3 linked regions of the Drosophila melanogaster genome follow. The protein of the gene in region 1 interacts with the protein of each later gene in a biochemical or structural test. Each region holds a gene or a part of one and is shown in the gene's direction. Other genes may lie near its edges.

The links. The genes of interacting proteins can lie anywhere in the genome.
Region 2: of the proteins of Slik (region 1) and rhea, one has a biochemical effect on the other in vitro, tested with the Drosophila melanogaster proteins (one study listed by BioGRID).
Region 3: of the proteins of Slik (region 1) and Moe, one has a biochemical effect on the other in vitro, tested with the Drosophila melanogaster proteins (one study listed by BioGRID).

The regions. Positions count from the first base shown.
Region 1 is NT_033778.4:24,399,659-24,404,586, reverse strand, and holds the start of Slik (Sterile20-like kinase), read left to right. Parts: upstream 1-1,906; 5' UTR 1,907-2,026; intron 2,027-2,202; exon of another isoform or gene 2,203-2,752; intron 2,753-2,778; 5' UTR 2,779-2,924; intron 2,925-3,101; 5' UTR 3,102-3,217; coding exon 3,218-3,541; intron 3,542-3,606; coding exon 3,607-3,805; intron 3,806-3,868; coding exon 3,869-4,179; intron 4,180-4,246; coding exon 4,247-4,387; intron 4,388-4,483; exon of another isoform or gene 4,484-4,559; intron 4,560-4,695; coding exon of another isoform or gene 4,696-4,737; intron 4,738-4,928. Other genes in the region: Rpn8 (regulatory particle non-ATPase 8), read right to left, coding at 314-1,155, 1,223-1,397.
Region 2 is NT_037436.4:8,543,397-8,548,020, forward strand, and holds the start of rhea (rhea), read left to right. Parts: upstream 1-1,604; 5' UTR 1,605-1,693; intron 1,694-3,278; exon of another isoform or gene 3,279-3,479; intron 3,480-4,624.
Region 3 is NC_004354.4:8,873,103-8,880,360, reverse strand, and holds Moe (moesin), read left to right. Parts: upstream 1-1,635; 5' UTR 1,636-1,823; coding exon 1,824-1,892; intron 1,893-3,199; exon of another isoform or gene 3,200-3,305; coding exon of another isoform or gene 3,306-3,347; intron 3,348-3,608; coding exon 3,609-3,788; intron 3,789-3,923; coding exon 3,924-4,055; intron 4,056-4,301; coding exon 4,302-4,328; intron 4,329-4,339; exon of another isoform or gene 4,340-4,500; coding exon 4,501-5,267; intron 5,268-5,461; coding exon 5,462-5,858; intron 5,859-5,959; coding exon 5,960-6,172; intron 6,173-6,249; coding exon 6,250-6,414; 3' UTR 6,415-6,738; downstream 6,739-7,258. UniProt on the Drosophila melanogaster protein: Involved in connections of major cytoskeletal structures to the plasma membrane. Together with wgn, involved in control of axon targeting of R8 and R2-R5 photoreceptors, independent of egr.

The DNA.
Region 1 (4,928 bases):
GCGGTTTTAATACTAGGTATGCTGCTTCTAGCAATATTAGAGGAAAGCAAACAATAGGAGTATTTAAATTATTTAATTTTTAATTACATAAACTTGCCATTAGTTAGTTACGCGAAATAATAAGAGGGAGCTTAATTTCGTGTGGAAAATGAACGATGAATGGTAGCAATGCTTGATTTCTGAGGCCACTGCACACCCTCGCCGTATGGTCTGCAGATGAGTTCCACTTCCTGGAGAACAGAAGAAGCAGCAGCTAGTCCTGCGCCCGCTGCTTCTTTCGTTTGCGACGGGGTTTGCGCTTTTTCTTCCGCTCCTATTTGCGCGAACCCTTGCCGCCTTCGTCCTTGCCCTTGTCGGCCTTCTCCTCCGCCTTCTTGCCGTCCTTGTCCTTGGTCTCCTTGTTGTCCTTATCCTTGCTATCCTTATTCTTCTCCTTGGCCTCCTTGCTGTCGCTCTTGCCCTCCTCGGCGTCGCGGTTGGCCAGCTTGTTGTTGATCAGGTTGTGCAGGGCAATGATCGAGCGCACCATGGAGGCCAGGTAGACGACTAGCATTTGGTCGTTGGTCTTCACATACATTGTGCCCGTGAACTGGTCATTGGTTATATCGGGCAGCAGGTTGAAGATGTCCTGCAGCTGGTAGACAATCTGGTGGTTGATTGGCATCTTGCTGTCGCCGACGCGCTGCAGATACTGCTTTATGTCCCGCAGCTGGGCATTCAGGCCTTTCAGACCCATGAGCTGGTTGGTGATCTTTTGCGACAGGCTGCCCACGGTTGTGTCCTTGATGTCACGCAGCAGATGCTCCACGCCCACCTCCTCCGCCTCCTCGGCGCCAATCTCGCTGGGCACATGCTCGAAAGTTTTGCTGGTCGGAGAGCCGTCGTCATGGACTTCCTCCACCGATATGTACGCCTCTGTGGGCAGGCCCAAATCCTTGGGCTTGGCGTCGATGATGACCAGCACGGAGTTGGGACAATAGCGCCGGACCAGCTCGTTGATGGCTATGTCGTTTTGGTGGAGCTTGGGACCTGTGTGATACCATCCCACAACCCGTTCCCTGGCGTTCACCTTTTTGAACATGCCGTACATATTCTCCAGGTAGTCGTGGTCCAGGAACCACACCGACTTGTCCTTGTCATCCTCGTCGAAGGGCACTGGAAGTCGGGAGGGAATTCTTTTGTTTTATGGCCACGACTTTGGATATTCAAAGGCAGTACTAACCTGCGAAGCTGTTGGACACATCGAGCACTCCCTTGGATCGCCAGCAGCCCAGAAGGACTCCCACTACGCGCTTCTGGTTGCCAATCTTTCCCATCCGGTTGAAGTGATCCACCACGGACAGCAGAACCAATGGATGCACTATCACTTTGTTTACGCTCACCTCCTGCGACGGCATGTTTGTGCTTTTTCTGGGTTTTCGGTTCGGGGGCTTACTATGACCTCTGCGCCGATTGATAGGTACCGGACTGATTTGTTTTCGACGGGTTTGGCTTCCTGCGACTCCTGTTTTTCGCTAAATTACCTGCAATTTGCGGCAAAAAACTCAGGCCAAAATGACAAGCAGAAACGATTTACAGTGTGGCCGACGCCTCGCTTTCTGAATTTATTTCAAGGCAAGCAAAAGCATGCTTTTCTAAAAATGATTAACTGGTCACACTCGGACTCGGAATACAGCATATTAAATATAACATATTCATTATTTTCCTACACTTACATTTTAGAACAATAAAGTTGTCGTGTTCTGGAAAGTAGTGAATTGATATCGATTTTCTACAGCTGTTAAGAAAACCTAATAGTTCTATATGTTATAAAGGGAAGGGTATAGGAGGACCGGATTGCTGGTGTATAAAATCACCCATCCTTGGTATTTTTGGAGTTTTGTTGAACGGCCACACAATGCTGGTGGAAAAATCATGAGAGGAAAAGCGCCGTGCAAACAGTTAGAAAGTGCGCAATCGGACAGCGGAAGTGCGGAAAAGAACGTTTGCTGAGGCTGCACCTGCCGAAAACCAGCTGTAAAGCAAAGTAACTAAGCAGCAGCCGACTTAACTTATTATTTCCCCCTCTGCGTGTGTGTTTGCATAAGTGTGTGTTGTTTCTGTTTTTGCCCTTGGCGAAGGCAAATAGTGCTGCTCTCTTCTGGCACAGATGACCTAAACGGCCATTTTTCGCCGGCGCTGCCAGATCGCCAAACAGGGTGCAATTGCAGCTCAGTGGCAACACGAAGCGTTTGCGCGAGAGAAATTTCCAAGCATTTTCGGGGTAAAATACGCTTCAAATGGCTTAGTGTGCGGCAAAAACAGTCAAAATAGCGATAGTGCAGTGATAGATAAAGCCGAAAACCGTGAAAGTGACTGTGTACGAATGAGGTAATACCCCATTCCGTTTGCGTGCGTCCTCAAGTTTCACGCCCATTCGCCGCTATACTTGCTCCGTAATCATCAATGGGATGTTGAATTTAGTTAAAAGTGCGCGTGTTGTTTACAAATTTCACGAATTACGAGCTGAGCAGTGCGAATTGAAGGCGCCTCTACGAATTAGTCAGCTTTGGCATCCGTAAATCCCGGGTTTCGCTGCAATTTCGGCGTAAATAGGTGTTCGGGTGTCCGTCTTGAAGGGGGAGAGGGGCTTAAAAGCCCAGAGACCAGCTCACAAATACTCGCAAGCAGAGACACACGCACACACACACACGCACGCTCTTTTGTCTACGTCTTTGACTTTTTCTCGTTTGTAATCATTTCCCTCCCATTCGTACGTGTTTTTTCTACAAATATTAGAGCTCGCTAGCTGCTAATTAAATTATAAAACATACAGAACACAGAAGCGCTAAAGACGGGCCAACCAAGCCCACAATCCCCGCTTTTTGGCCTATTTCGCTGAACAAAAAAAGAGAAGGAACCGAGGAGAGAGTGCTGCAAAGAAGGTGAGTTTAGGCCACGATATCTGGGCTATGGTCTGCGTTCTAGAACGGGGCAGTTCCACCCCGGATTCCGATTCAGAATGAGATTCAGATTGAAACTTAGAGCTAGACTTGAAACCCTGCCAAGTCTGTGATATACACCTGCCCGTTCAATCAATAAACGCTTGCCAATGTCCGCAGCTTTCACCAAATCTAGTTTTCCTGCTTGGACTCTCGCCCAGGAGCTCACTATGTAGACTCAACCCAAGAAATCATCATCGTCAGCAGAAGCAGGGGAAATCTACAAGAGAGCCAACATGTCGTTTATCACCAACCTGAAGAAGGTCTTCCACCTCGGCGGGGGTGAGGCCAAGAAGAAGCGCCTGTACAACAACATCAAGATGGACACGGATCCGGCGGAGTTCTGGGAAATGGTCGGCGAACTGGGCGACGGAGCCTTTGGCAAGGTTTACAAGGCTCAGCACAAGGAGCAGAAGCGATTTGCTGCCGCAAAAATGTGTCAGCTGGAGGACGAGGAGAACCTTAGCGATCACATGGTCGAGATCGACATTCTGTCGGAGATCAAGCACCCAAATATAGTGGAGCTGTATGAGGCCTTTTCCATCGATGATAAGCTGTGGGTGAGTATATCGATGTACTTCAAGTTTTATCGGGATTATGAATCATTCCTTGAAATTCCTCTCAGATGCTCATCGAGTACTGCGACGGAGGGGCCCTGGATAGCATTATGGTGGAGCTGGAAAAGCCGCTGACTGAGCCGCAGATTGCCTATGTTTGCAAGCACATGACCGAGGGTCTCACCTTCCTGCATCGCAACAAAGTCATCCATCGTGATTTGAAGGCAGGAAACGTGCTTCTCACAATGGAAGGTGGCGTCAAGTTGGGTAAGTTATCGGTGCCCTTTTCCTAAGCCGAGACGATCTCAAAGTGAAATCAACTCATTTCAGCGGACTTTGGCGTTTCGGCCAAAAACAAGCACACCATGCAAAAGCACGACACCTTCATTGGCACTCCCTACTGGATGGCCCCGGAGCTGGTGCTTTGCGAAACTTTCCGGGACAACCCGTACGATCACAAAGTGGACATCTGGTCACTGGGCATCACGCTCATTGAGCTGGCGCAGATGGAGCCGCCCAACAGCGAGATGTCGCCCATGCGAGTGCTCTTGAAAATACAAAAGAGCGAGCCGCCCAAGCTGGAGCAGCCTTCTCGATGGAGCAAGGAGTTTAACGACTTCCTGAAGAAGTCCTTAGTCAAAGTGGGTAACCCTAAAATCTGTTATTTACATTCCATTCTAACTTTACTTTTGTATTCCTTCTGAACAGGATCCGCAGGTGAGGCCCACGACGGATGTGCTGATGCAGCACGCTTTCATCAACAGAAATCTGGATGCCAAGCCTATCAAGGATCTGCTGCTTGAGTACAAGGCCGAGGTCGTGGAAGAGGTGGTGGATGATGAGACCGAGGTGAGTGCGCCTTGGAAGCCCATGGATCCCTGTGCCCAGCACCGCACCCTTGTAGTCCAACTGCTAGATGTGATGATAATTTCTACGTTCTCTCACCTCTCCAACTGCTCTTTCTTCTCTCTTACACGCTGCCGCCTGAAAACCCAACCAAATCGCACCGCGCGATACATTATTTTATATGTTTATCTTCGTTTCTTCTCGACTATTCTTTGCCTTGCGTTTATGTTACGTTCTGTTTTGTTCCGCCAAAATGTCGCAATGTTTGTTCTTATCATTTGTATGTGGTTACTTGGAAATAATTGATATAGAAGCTTAAACGCCAAGTGAAGCGGCGCTCGCTCTATCAGAGGGTTGGTAAGTCGTTCTACAGCAAGCCGTCCGTGCTCCGTCCGTTCCTGGCACCCGCACCCCTCCCCTCCTCTGTTTCTGCATCCCAGGCACTGTCCTTCAAAAGCGGACCCACAATTAGTTTACTTATTTTATCAGCATTGCCAAATGCCGCTTATCACTTAGCTCCTCTGTCGGAGGCATACTTCGCTCG
Region 2 (4,624 bases), on another chromosome or scaffold:
ATGATATATGGGCATTCGGCTTGGCCGGTTTAACCCATTAGCCAGCCGGAAGATCGCTCAATTAGCGTTGCTCCTCGCTGCTGGTCAGTCCCAAGTCCCAAATCCCAAGTGGGTCACTCGAGGAAAGGATTTGCGAATCGGGTTTTTATTTGCCATTACCGAAAACCAAACTCCCTGGCCTCTTTGTTGGGCCAACAAAGTGACATAAATCTTGGCGAGCGCTGGCACAAACTCAACCGGAACTAAAGCAATGACGCAGCAGGAGCACCAGGACACATGTCGATGCGTTCTGCTCATCCATTTCGCTTGCTCCTCCTTGGCCAGCAGTCATAACGGGCGTGTGTGTAAAGCGAGTGTGCCAGTTCCGAGATTTATCGGCCCGAGGGGTGAGTCCATATCTGCACATCCTGCATCTTCTATCTGCGTATCGGTTTGGCAGGCCTCGAATCGCGGGACATCAATGCTCAATGCCCAATGCCCAATGCCGGATGCCCAGAACGACAGGCGTTCGATTGAAATTAATTGAATTTGCGCCCAAGCCACGAACTTGACTTCGTTTCAAGAAATTTCTCAAGCGCGCAGGGGCGGGCATTGTGCACAGAGAGAAATTTTTATATGAAGAATATAGTGTTTTATGTATGAAGGTTTTCTGAAAGTTCGCTTTAAAATGTTTCTCTTGAAATTTCCAATAATTAAATTCAAGTTTGATAGTAGCAAAAGGAATGTTTATCCCCCCCTTTGATAATTTTGCAACTTGTCTTTAATTACTTCTCATTTTTTAAGAGTGTTGCGAAAGAAGGACCGTGGACGCTTGTTTCCTGTTTATGCTCGAGATGTTTTGCAGCATAAATTACGCGTACACATATACCCATGTATTCGCGCATATGATATCCTTGACAAGTCGAGAAAGGAGAAGGGAAAAAAACAGGAACATTAAATTTATTTTTATTTCGCTGCCTTATAGGGAAAGCAACCCCAGTGAAAGGGCCCCCAAAGACGCGCGCTATGTGCGGTCCGTTGACTTTGGCGAAGTCATGAATTCGCTTGCTTATTTTTATGATTTTGGCTAGTTTTTGTTTTTCGGCCCTTAGATTGCTCGTCTATTTTCTGAGGGTTGTAAGTTGCACACTTGGTTGCCCTCCAATCGCCGAAATCAAAACGGAAACGATGATCGTCTCGGAGAAAATTCAGGAAAGCCAGACAAATTTATCAAGTTTGTGTGGGGGTGCGCTTTGGTGGGGCTTGTAACCTTCATTAATCATGTGGATATGTTGTTTTTATAGGATTCGACTACAAATCGCTTAATCTTTAAGCCTTGTTTTAGTTAGACTGCATTAGTTGGGGGTTTTATTTTAAATTTGGCGCTCATGCCTTTACATTTGGGGTGACCCTGCACTTAACAGTCTGCCATTGGCATAACAGCTCTGTGTGCAGACTACTTTTTGCTTGCCGTAGTAATTTCAAATATTATAGAAGTATAGGCAAACTATGATTAGAACTTGTAAATTTATATATTTTTTATTTATTTTGTAATTATGTGACCCAAACGCTAATTGGTTCCGATAGCCGCAATGACTTATCGATAGCTGCTTGACGCACGGTCACACTGTCTTAACTACGGAATATTTTGTAAAGTGTTAGTTTTATTTACTCGATTTTAGCTCTCTTTAAGCCCTTTTCGCCGTGTGTTTCTGTAAGTTAACCAATGTTTAAAACCCCAAGTGCACAAATCAGTTTAAAGCCCCTTTCCCGCGGCATGAAAACGCGTCAAACAAAGCCAGTGGAGATTCAGCTGCGGCCTGGCCAACAAGAACTCATTTCGATTCGTTCGCACATTTTGTTGTTGCCGCCTAGTGGGTGCTCCTCCGGGGTGGAGTCATCATCGTTATCCCTACCCCCAGTTGTTGGCGCCGACTGTCCGGATTTTGGTCTCTCCCACATGTCCCGCACATTTGTTTTTGTCGGTCACGCGAATTCCGCCCTTTTAACCAAGTTTCCAGTGTAACAACAAAAGGGGGCAAAAAAAGGGAACGCCCGCATTTGTATGTTTGTTCGTTTGTTTGCTTGTAAGCATCGTCTACGTTTTATGCTAATTAAAGTGCAACATTTTTTTTTTAGCCAAAGCTGCGAATATAATTCAATTAACGAGAGTCCAACTGCGACTGCCTCGCATTATCAGCACAGCAGTTGGTTTGGTTTGACGGCTTTATCTGAGCAGCTGGATGAGCGTGCAGAATAGCATGGTGTATATGTATATGGGGTACATTCCATACGCGATAAGATAACCCCCGGTTGCTGAAGAAGAAGAAGAAGAAGCGCCGGATTCGCGGGAGTTGGCAATTGCCTTCAATTCTCAAGTTAATTGTGGAGTTAGCTGTGCAACTGCAACCCTCAAAGATCCGAGACGAGGACCCACAAGACTCGTGCCTACATCCCGCTGTCAGTGGCATAGAGATTCACTCTTCCCGGGATCAGGCCCTCAATTGCGTCAATAATTGGACCTAATTGAAGTCAACAGGCTATTATTTTGCCTCCTTTGTTTATGCACGTTTTTGGAAACTGTTGTATTCAATTATTTCAACTGAGATTGAAATTTCTCATGTATTCTGTTTGTGTAAGAGTTTTAAATGCAGATACTTTCCTAAAAAGAGACTGGTCCTGTTTAGATTATAGTATCTATAGAGATTTGAACCCATAAAGATTACGTTAATATTGTTGATTGTTTAGAAGCATTCCTTTTGGGGAATAATCTAGTCCGTCAAAGAGTCATTGATATTATAGATAAGAAATGTTTGGGTCATATAACATCATCAAAACAAAACGTCATTACCAAAACATTTCAAAATACTAATACTTACAACGCTCCAATCGCTTGACTAGCTTAGCCCTTGAAAAGCAGGAGTAATGTCCATTTCTTAGAAAACCCCATGTGACTAAGCGCACTTCCTCTTCCAATTTCTCGCTTCCTCTCTGCTCACTTTTGAGAAGAAAGAAAGAGCCATAAGTTGGGCAACAAAAGATTAGTCACCACTGGCACGGGTCCATCACCTTGTGGCCACTACCTTCTCCTCCGCTGCCCCTTCATTTCACCGCCCTCCCTCTGGCTGGCACCTTTTGTTTTGTTTACATTTGCAGACGGCGATCAGGAGAATCGGAAGAATCAGAGAGGAGAGAAGCCTAGCAGCAGGTGGCTCTCTTCGCGGCTCTCCCATCTGTTGCTCATGCTGCTCACACTGCCCATGGAACCGAGCGAACCACTCGCTTCTATGGCCCGCTCATTCGAGTTTCGTCCGTCGTCGGTGCCAATTCGTTCGATTGTGCCGCGCCCGATATCGCTATTGAAATATATATATATATACATATATCTACCCATATATATGTATAGGCGATTCGTACATATATGAATATCGCATATCGTGCATATCGTTCAAGTTCAAATATCAAAAGAGTTTCCAGCCCAATTGTGGGAATTAAAGAAGGTATATACATGACGAGAGTGCGCGGTCATAAGTGTGTGACATATGGTGTTATTTTTATCCATTCCGAGTGGAATATGTGCCACAAAAAGGCAGTTCCATTGTGTAACTAAGTTCAAACGCCAAATGCACGTTGCGCCTGCGCGATGCGCGCCAAAAACCCATCGGAAAACCCTTTTCCCCATTTCGGATGTCGAGCGTTTTAGAAAACAAGCTGAAAATTACCTCATCGCGCTGCCGGCGCCAGCGTCGACGTCTGCCGTTTGATGTCTGCCCCTGACTACGCTGGTCCACAGAGAAAAAATTTGGATTATAATAGATCACTAGGCTATATCTTATGACGTGCTAGCGAAATCTTAGGACTAGTCAGATTAGCATAATTCGCTTTTCACGATGATGCTTTTTTTTGTATTTGTATATGGATATAAACCTGAGCAAAGGGTTCCATTCAACAACAATGTATAGTATTTGATTATGTAATCAAGAAGTACTGCATTATTTATATTACTGTTTATCAAAAAAATACTATATTATTCTCTGTGTACACAAACATATAGATATTTCATTCTATATTTCTTGCTTGCCTAGCAGCTGGCGGCTGGCCTCCCACTCCCCTCCTCCACAAATGCGATTTATCTTTAAGATACAACGTACGCTAAGATTTGTTTGGTATCTGTACGTAGATTTATTGTTTTTTTTTGTTACGCTCTTTCCTCGCTCTTCTCTTCACCGATTTAAATATCTCGCGTCTTTCGATGTTTTGTCATAATTTCTCTGGCTTTTGTCCTGTTTTCTACACATTTTTTGTCCGATTGTTTGGCAAATTTCGCCGTCGCTCCATTTTGTGGGCGTATTTTGTATATTATTTATCCATTATCTCGAAATGTCAATGCGCTCGTTTAAAGCTGTTGTTATTTTCAGTCTCTCTCACTTTTTCGAGCGTTTCGACCTTATTAGCAGTGGGCTTCGGTTTTGGAATGCCCGCCACATAAACACGCTTCGGAAACATAAAGAAATCGAGATCGGAGCTCATTTTCACTCCATGCTCCACTGTGTGGGCAGTGCATCGGCTCCACATCTACCAAATATTTCGGACGTAGACGTGGGGACGCTCAGCATCCGCCAAGATATTAGTACACTTCACAAAT
Region 3 (7,258 bases), on another chromosome or scaffold:
CCTGGAAAGAAAACATTTCGTTTCGATAAGTACGACAAGACACGAAACAACAAAATGTCTCCAAAAGCGGTAAGTTAACCAATAACTATAAAATAATAAATAATTAGTACTGATTAGACAGTATTATAATAAGTTCGAAATATTCCATTATAATGGTAACCATATATCACTGGAATGAAACCACAAACGAATCTGATAAAACAAATGTTTTGCACTAGCGCCTAGTAAATTATTAAAGATTAGTTATATTAAATCACAACGAAAAGTTTGTCAGCTATCAGCTATCGGAAATTGTGTTCTTATCAAGAGAGCACTTCAGCTACAATTGTCGTCAATTGTGGAGTGTTGGGATCGCATCGCATCTTTTAATAGAACTTCTTCTGGGGGGGAATGGGGATGGCCAGGCGAAGACGTCATATTGGCCCAACTGTTGACGTTGGTAATTGTATTTGATTCTTGGACATTTGCCAAAAAAAATTTCATCATTTCATCAGATACGCAGACGGCGAAAAATTGGATTAGAAGACGACGTCATTGATATGAACACATGAGTAGATCATTATTTCATACCAAAGCATTTGCCAATTTCTTTTTGACATGTTGTGATTTCTTTTTTTTTTTTTTTGGCAACCGGAAAAGTTCTTATCTCACCCAGCGATGGTCTAATGACATTTTTGCCTCAACTTGATTGTTAATGAATGATGTATTTGTTATGAGTTCATCATGACAATCAAACACGTGATTTGAAGTGATTTTATAATACAATTTGGATGATTGAAAGGTGATTTTTGCACAAAGCTTTAAGAAGTCGTTTGCCTTTTAGGGAAATTTCTCTGTTCCAATGCAGTAGTCGATGCACATCGTGCTTGAATGGTTTCTCCATAACTTTCCCTTTTTCGCTATAGTTTTTCTCATCCATAACTAGATGTTTATTGGTCTGTTTGAATAGCTTGATATGTGAGTGCGGAGTGGGGAGGGGGGAGGGGTTTAATTGCTATTTGAGGCCCAAAAGCGGCATCAATAAAACAGAATTGACAGCCAACGCGTCGTATGATTGACGCTGATTTGTTTGCCTACCTTGGGGCTGCGTTTCTACGGCGCTCTCTCGTGCTCTTCGGCGCACAGCGCTGGCCAAATGACTAGTGTTCAAACTAAAAATTAGCTAACTATACAGCTAATTCAATCAATAATTCATTTAGAGAATTGGTTGTGTTTTGATTTATATATATATTTTTTAAATATATTTTACCATATTGCACTATTTACTTGACCCCCATTGCATTCACATACTTCTCTCGTTCTGGAAAACCCATTTGACCTCTATGGTCAGCAGTTCTTTTCTTTATGGTTGCGGCTGTCCACTTTTAGATGCATAATTAACATGCAATTTATATTAACTTGACAACGAATGACTGGGATAAAAATTTTCCCATTTTCTTGGGCAGAAATTAAGTTCATTTTGTGTTGTGTTGTGTGTTCCCTTAGCGTTTCTTTTGCGTTCTGCCGCCGCCGCCGCTTTCCCAGTGTTGTTTTTTGTTTTTCTTCTCTTCTAGCATTTATTTTCCTTTTGCCTTTTGCGCTTGTCTTCCCCATTTGGCGACTTAAAAACGTGCCGTGACTTTTCCATTTTCCTCAGTTGCCGCTGGACAACAGAATCGAATCGTCGCTTTTCCGCTTTTAACCATCGTGTCGCGTTGGTCGGTTGGTTTTCCCGCGTAGCTTGTGGCTGCTCAAGAATATATATATATTTCCCAGACGGAGATTTGCATTGAAAAGGCGTAATAATTCAAAAGCTACTGCGCAATCCGTTTTCGGTGCCCAAAATGGTCGTCGTCTCCGACAGCCGCGTCCGTTTGCCGCGTTACGGCGGAGTCAGCGTCAAACGGAAAACGGTACGGACCACACTGCTCACTATTTTCCACGTTTTTCCTGCTAAGCTGGAAAAGCGCATCCCCCTTTTCTTTTTTTTTTTTTTCATGTGCTGCACTTTTGTGGTTTCAAGTCAAAAACCATTTTTTTTTCTTTTTTAAAAACTGGTTATTATGCTCCAACTTCCGTTGCAAATAGCTGTTGTGTTTTTCATTCTCAGCGGCCAGGGGGAGAAAAAAACAAAGCAGAAACCACGGTGGTTGCATTAACCCAAAAACGTTAATTGGATTGAAATGAAAAACGTTTTCAATTTCCTAACATTGTGTCACGTTTGATTTGCATTCAGCAGCCGAAAGCGAAAACAAAACAATGAGCCCTCGGACTGAAAAGCAAAACCGAGCCAAACAAAATGATGAAGTTAAAAAATTTTAATTTGTTGGGTCTACCACACATTGTTTTTTCCCATGCCCAGAAAATGGTAACAAAAACCAGCGGATTTTCAAAGGGCCTTTAAAACTGAAATTGGTTCAATCAATCTTAACAGATAGGAAATAAAATAGTTTAAAAAAATTTGTAGCTGATTTAGGTATTTAGCAAAATTCCTTTGTATATTTCAATAAAGTAAAGGAATATTTTAAACGAATGGTTTTTAATGTAAGACTTACATTTGTTGGCCATGTTGTAAAAAGCGAACTGAATTGTTAGTTATATATACTCTATTGTCTGCGCTGCATATTAACCCCAATTTTGATCTACGATCGCATTTACTTTGATCCAAATGTGGCGATTGCGCAATGGTATGTAGTGTAGTTAGTACAGGTTGACATGTGCATGTGCTGTGTGTCCGACGTTGGGTGGCGATGTGGGTGGAATTTCCCTAGCTTTTCCGCCATTTCACATTGCAAGTTGGTCAAGTGGCACGCGCAGTGGGATAGATAGCGGCTGAGCTCTCTCTTTCTATCTCTCTCTTGTATAACCACCGATTACCACTCGCTGGCCATCCGGTCTATATTCCCATACACACACACACACACACACACGCACACCCCACACCCTGTGTTTTCCCCCCACTTATTTCCACTATCTAGAGCTGCCTGGTCATTTCCAGCTTGTTGCTATTGTCATGCCTGATTGATTTTTGCTTTGCTGTTTTCCAAGCGTGATTTTTCACTGCGGCCCGCTTTCATTTTCCCTCTTTCCATTTTGCCCTCCATTTTCCCCCATTTCCCCCCATTTTTTCAAGCATTTTTCACCCATTTGAAACGTGTGTGTGCGCGCGTTTAAGTCGAAAGCCCGACTTATGCAAGTCGTGGCAATCGAATCCAATCCTCCAAAGCGAAACGGGAGCTCTTGGCACGTGCCCTGCTCACATCCCGTTAATCCATCGACCCCTAAACAAATCGTGGGGGATTCTCCTCTGCACGCCACCTTCATCGATGGGTGTCAATTTTTTACTCTTTTTTTTTTCTATTTGGCTTGTGAGCATGCCCAGTTAGTTTGATCTAGTTAGCTTTTCATGTCATGGATGATGGCACTTTTAACTTAAGAAATGCAGCAAAAGAAACAAATAAGTTACATTTAATTAATAAAACATTCTGTTTGATTCATTCGTTTTTAGTTTGCCTTCTAAAGGCAATGCTTTGTTCTTTTATATATATATATATATATATATTTTTGCGTTATTTTAATCATTTAATACGATATTTTTTTAATATCACGACATCCCTTACTAATTTCAGCTAAATGTGCGCGTCACGACAATGGACGCGGAACTGGAGTTCGCCATTCAGTCGACGACGACGGGCAAGCAATTGTTTGACCAGGTGGTGAAGACGATCGGCCTGCGAGAGGTTTGGTTCTTTGGACTCCAGTACACCGACTCCAAGGGCGACTCCACATGGATCAAGCTGTACAAAAAGGTAGGCGACTATAAATTTCATACAAATAAAGTTTGAAGTTTATAGTTCAAAAGAATATAAATTTAAATTATTTACTAAGATTGCATGTACATCATAATATTTATAAATGTAATGTATGGTACATACATAATATAGCCCGAATCGCCGGCCATAAAGACAATAAAATATTTAAAGCGTGTAAAGAAGTATGTGGACAAAAAGACAGCCGACAGCAATGGAGTAAATCATTTAGAGACGAGCGAAGAGGATGACGACGCCGATGATATGGTGGGCAGAGATCGAGAATATATTTATATATATATATATATGCCAATCCAGCAAAGTACATCCACAAAAAGTCCCAGCTAGAACATAAACCGAATTATCCTGTAAAATGCCAATTCTATAATTGTATTGTATCGCCTCGCCTTCGAATGCTTAGCTTAAGTTAATTAGCGATTGTTAGAGACTTGATTTACTAATACAAATGCAATCTCTGTATATGATTTAATGCTGCACCACAACAACAAACAGACTGGATCAATGCCGTTTTCGACATGGGTAACACTCAGACGCCGCATGCACTTTTTTATCTATGATATTATGTTTATTATTTCATTATTGAATCGGGAAAACCAAACGTTTTTTTTTTTTTCGTATACAAATCCATTTGCAGTTTGTAAACTTTAGCGTGCATTCGCATCTAATAGTGATATGTTTTCGCTTTTCACAGGTGATGAACCAGGACGTGAAGAAGGAGAATCCCTTGCAGTTTAGGTTCCGTGCCAAATTCTATCCCGAGGATGTGGCCGAGGAGCTGATCCAGGACATTACACTGCGTCTGTTCTACCTGCAGGTGAAGAATGCCATACTGACCGACGAGATCTATTGTCCGCCAGAGACATCCGTGCTGCTCGCCTCGTACGCCGTCCAGGCGCGTCATGGTGACCACAATAAGACCACCCACACAGCCGGCTTTCTGGCCAACGATCGCCTGCTGCCGCAGCGCGTCATCGACCAGCACAAGATGTCCAAGGACGAGTGGGAGCAGTCGATTATGACCTGGTGGCAGGAGCATCGCAGCATGCTGCGCGAGGATGCCATGATGGAGTATCTGAAGATCGCCCAAGACCTGGAGATGTACGGCGTTAACTACTTTGAGATCCGCAACAAGAAGGGCACGGATCTTTGGCTGGGCGTAGACGCACTGGGTCTGAACATTTACGAGCAGGACGATAGGTTGACGCCGAAAATTGGTTTCCCATGGTCCGAGATTCGCAACATTTCGTTCTCGGAGAAGAAGTTCATCATCAAGCCGATCGACAAGAAGGCTCCGGACTTTATGTTCTTTGCGCCACGTGTCCGCATCAACAAGCGCATTCTGGCCCTCTGCATGGGCAACCACGAGCTGTACATGCGTCGCCGCAAGCCGGACACCATCGATGTGCAGCAGATGAAGGCGCAGGCGCGCGAGGAGAAGAATGCCAAACAGCAGGAACGGTTAGTACGGATTTCAAGTCATGTCTGTTTGAATGAATCAAAACTTTGGGAATTTCAACGAAATACAACGTTTCAATGACCCGAAACATAATGATTCGAGCATATCATTTCCATGAGAGTCTGATTCATGCACAGGCTATAATCTGCAAGCAGATGATTCCCTTCTTATTTTCGGTGTTCTTTCGTTTTTGCAGTGAGAAGCTGCAGCTGGCGCTGGCCGCACGCGAACGCGCTGAAAAGAAGCAGCAGGAGTACGAGGATCGGCTAAAGCAGATGCAGGAGGACATGGAGCGTTCGCAGCGCGATCTGCTTGAGGCGCAGGACATGATCCGCCGGCTGGAGGAGCAGCTGAAGCAGCTGCAGGCCGCCAAGGATGAGCTGGAGCTGCGCCAGAAGGAGCTGCAGGCGATGCTGCAGCGCCTCGAGGAGGCCAAGAATATGGAGGCCGTCGAGAAGCTCAAGCTCGAGGAGGAGATCATGGCCAAGCAGATGGAGGTGCAGCGCATTCAGGACGAGGTCAACGCCAAGGATGAGGAGACAAAGCGTCTGCAGGACGAAGTGGAAGACGCCCGACGCAAGCAGGTCATTGCGGTACACTTTTTTCACTATTTGTTGGCATCGAAAAAACCAATGAATATAGTCTTGATACCATTTTGTGTTCAACTTTATACTGAACATTGTCGTTTTTGTAGGCTGAAGCCGCTGCCGCTCTGCTGGCCGCGTCGACAACGCCGCAGCATCACCACGTGGCCGAGGATGAGAACGAGAACGAGGAGGAGCTGACGAACGGCGATGCCGGTGGCGATGTGTCGCGCGACCTGGACACCGACGAGCATATCAAGGACCCCATCGAGGACAGACGCACGCTGGCCGAGCGCAACGAACGCTTGCACGATCAGCTCAAGGTGGGTTCGAAATCGAGTCCCTTATGCTCCACTCAACTAACAATATCAATTTGATATATATATATATCTATATCTAGGCTCTGAAACAAGATTTGGCGCAGTCTCGCGACGAGACGAAAGAGACGGCAAACGATAAGATTCATCGCGAGAACGTTCGCCAGGGACGTGACAAGTACAAGACGCTCCGCGAGATTCGTAAGGGCAACACAAAGCGTCGCGTCGATCAGTTTGAGAACATGTAAAAGCTATCAAAGATCAGAGATCGATAGTGCGCGGGAAAGAGAGAGGGAGCGGTGAGACTCCAGAAAGAAAAAGAAAAAGATATAACTACAGCAAGAGCAGATAATAATAATGATGATTGATAATGATGAAGATGATGATGAAGAATAAGCAACAAATATAATTCCGGTCGCTGGCAAAAGCCTATTGCTAACTATCCCACCAGCGACGACCCTTTTCCACCCATAAGAACACTTCCTGCCTCCTAAAGTGAATTGAAATGAAATATACTTTGTTTGACCGTCGTTTTGTCTCGCAGCTTTTGTATAGAAGAATCAAGAATAAGCAAAAAGAAAAAAAGAAAAAATAAATTAATGGAAACTAATTTAGCCGGACACAGCACTCATCAATATGAATAGAATGAGAAGACGGTTAGGAAGGACCGCATCTATATGGACAATCAGCAAATGAATGAGGATCAAGCTATCGGAAAATATGTCTAAATCCAAGCAGAAGCAATAGAAAATATACATTTCTCCTTTTCCCAATGGATTCATTGAGAAAACGGAACGAATAGTAATAGATATTGAAAAGGAACATCAGCAACAATAAACAACAACAACATCAACAACAACAAGAACAGCTACTACAACAAAACAAACAACTATTTGCATTTTCCCCCGTTATAATTATTATTTTTATTATTATATAATTACTATTTTTTTTAAATTTGTATAATTAAATAAGAACTTGATTAATTGTTTCTTAAATTAACTTGAGAGAGAGCAACAAACAAAAAGAGAAAAAATATATTATATAAAATATTTTTCTTTAATCTATTTTTGTTTTGCAAGAAAAGAAAGATTC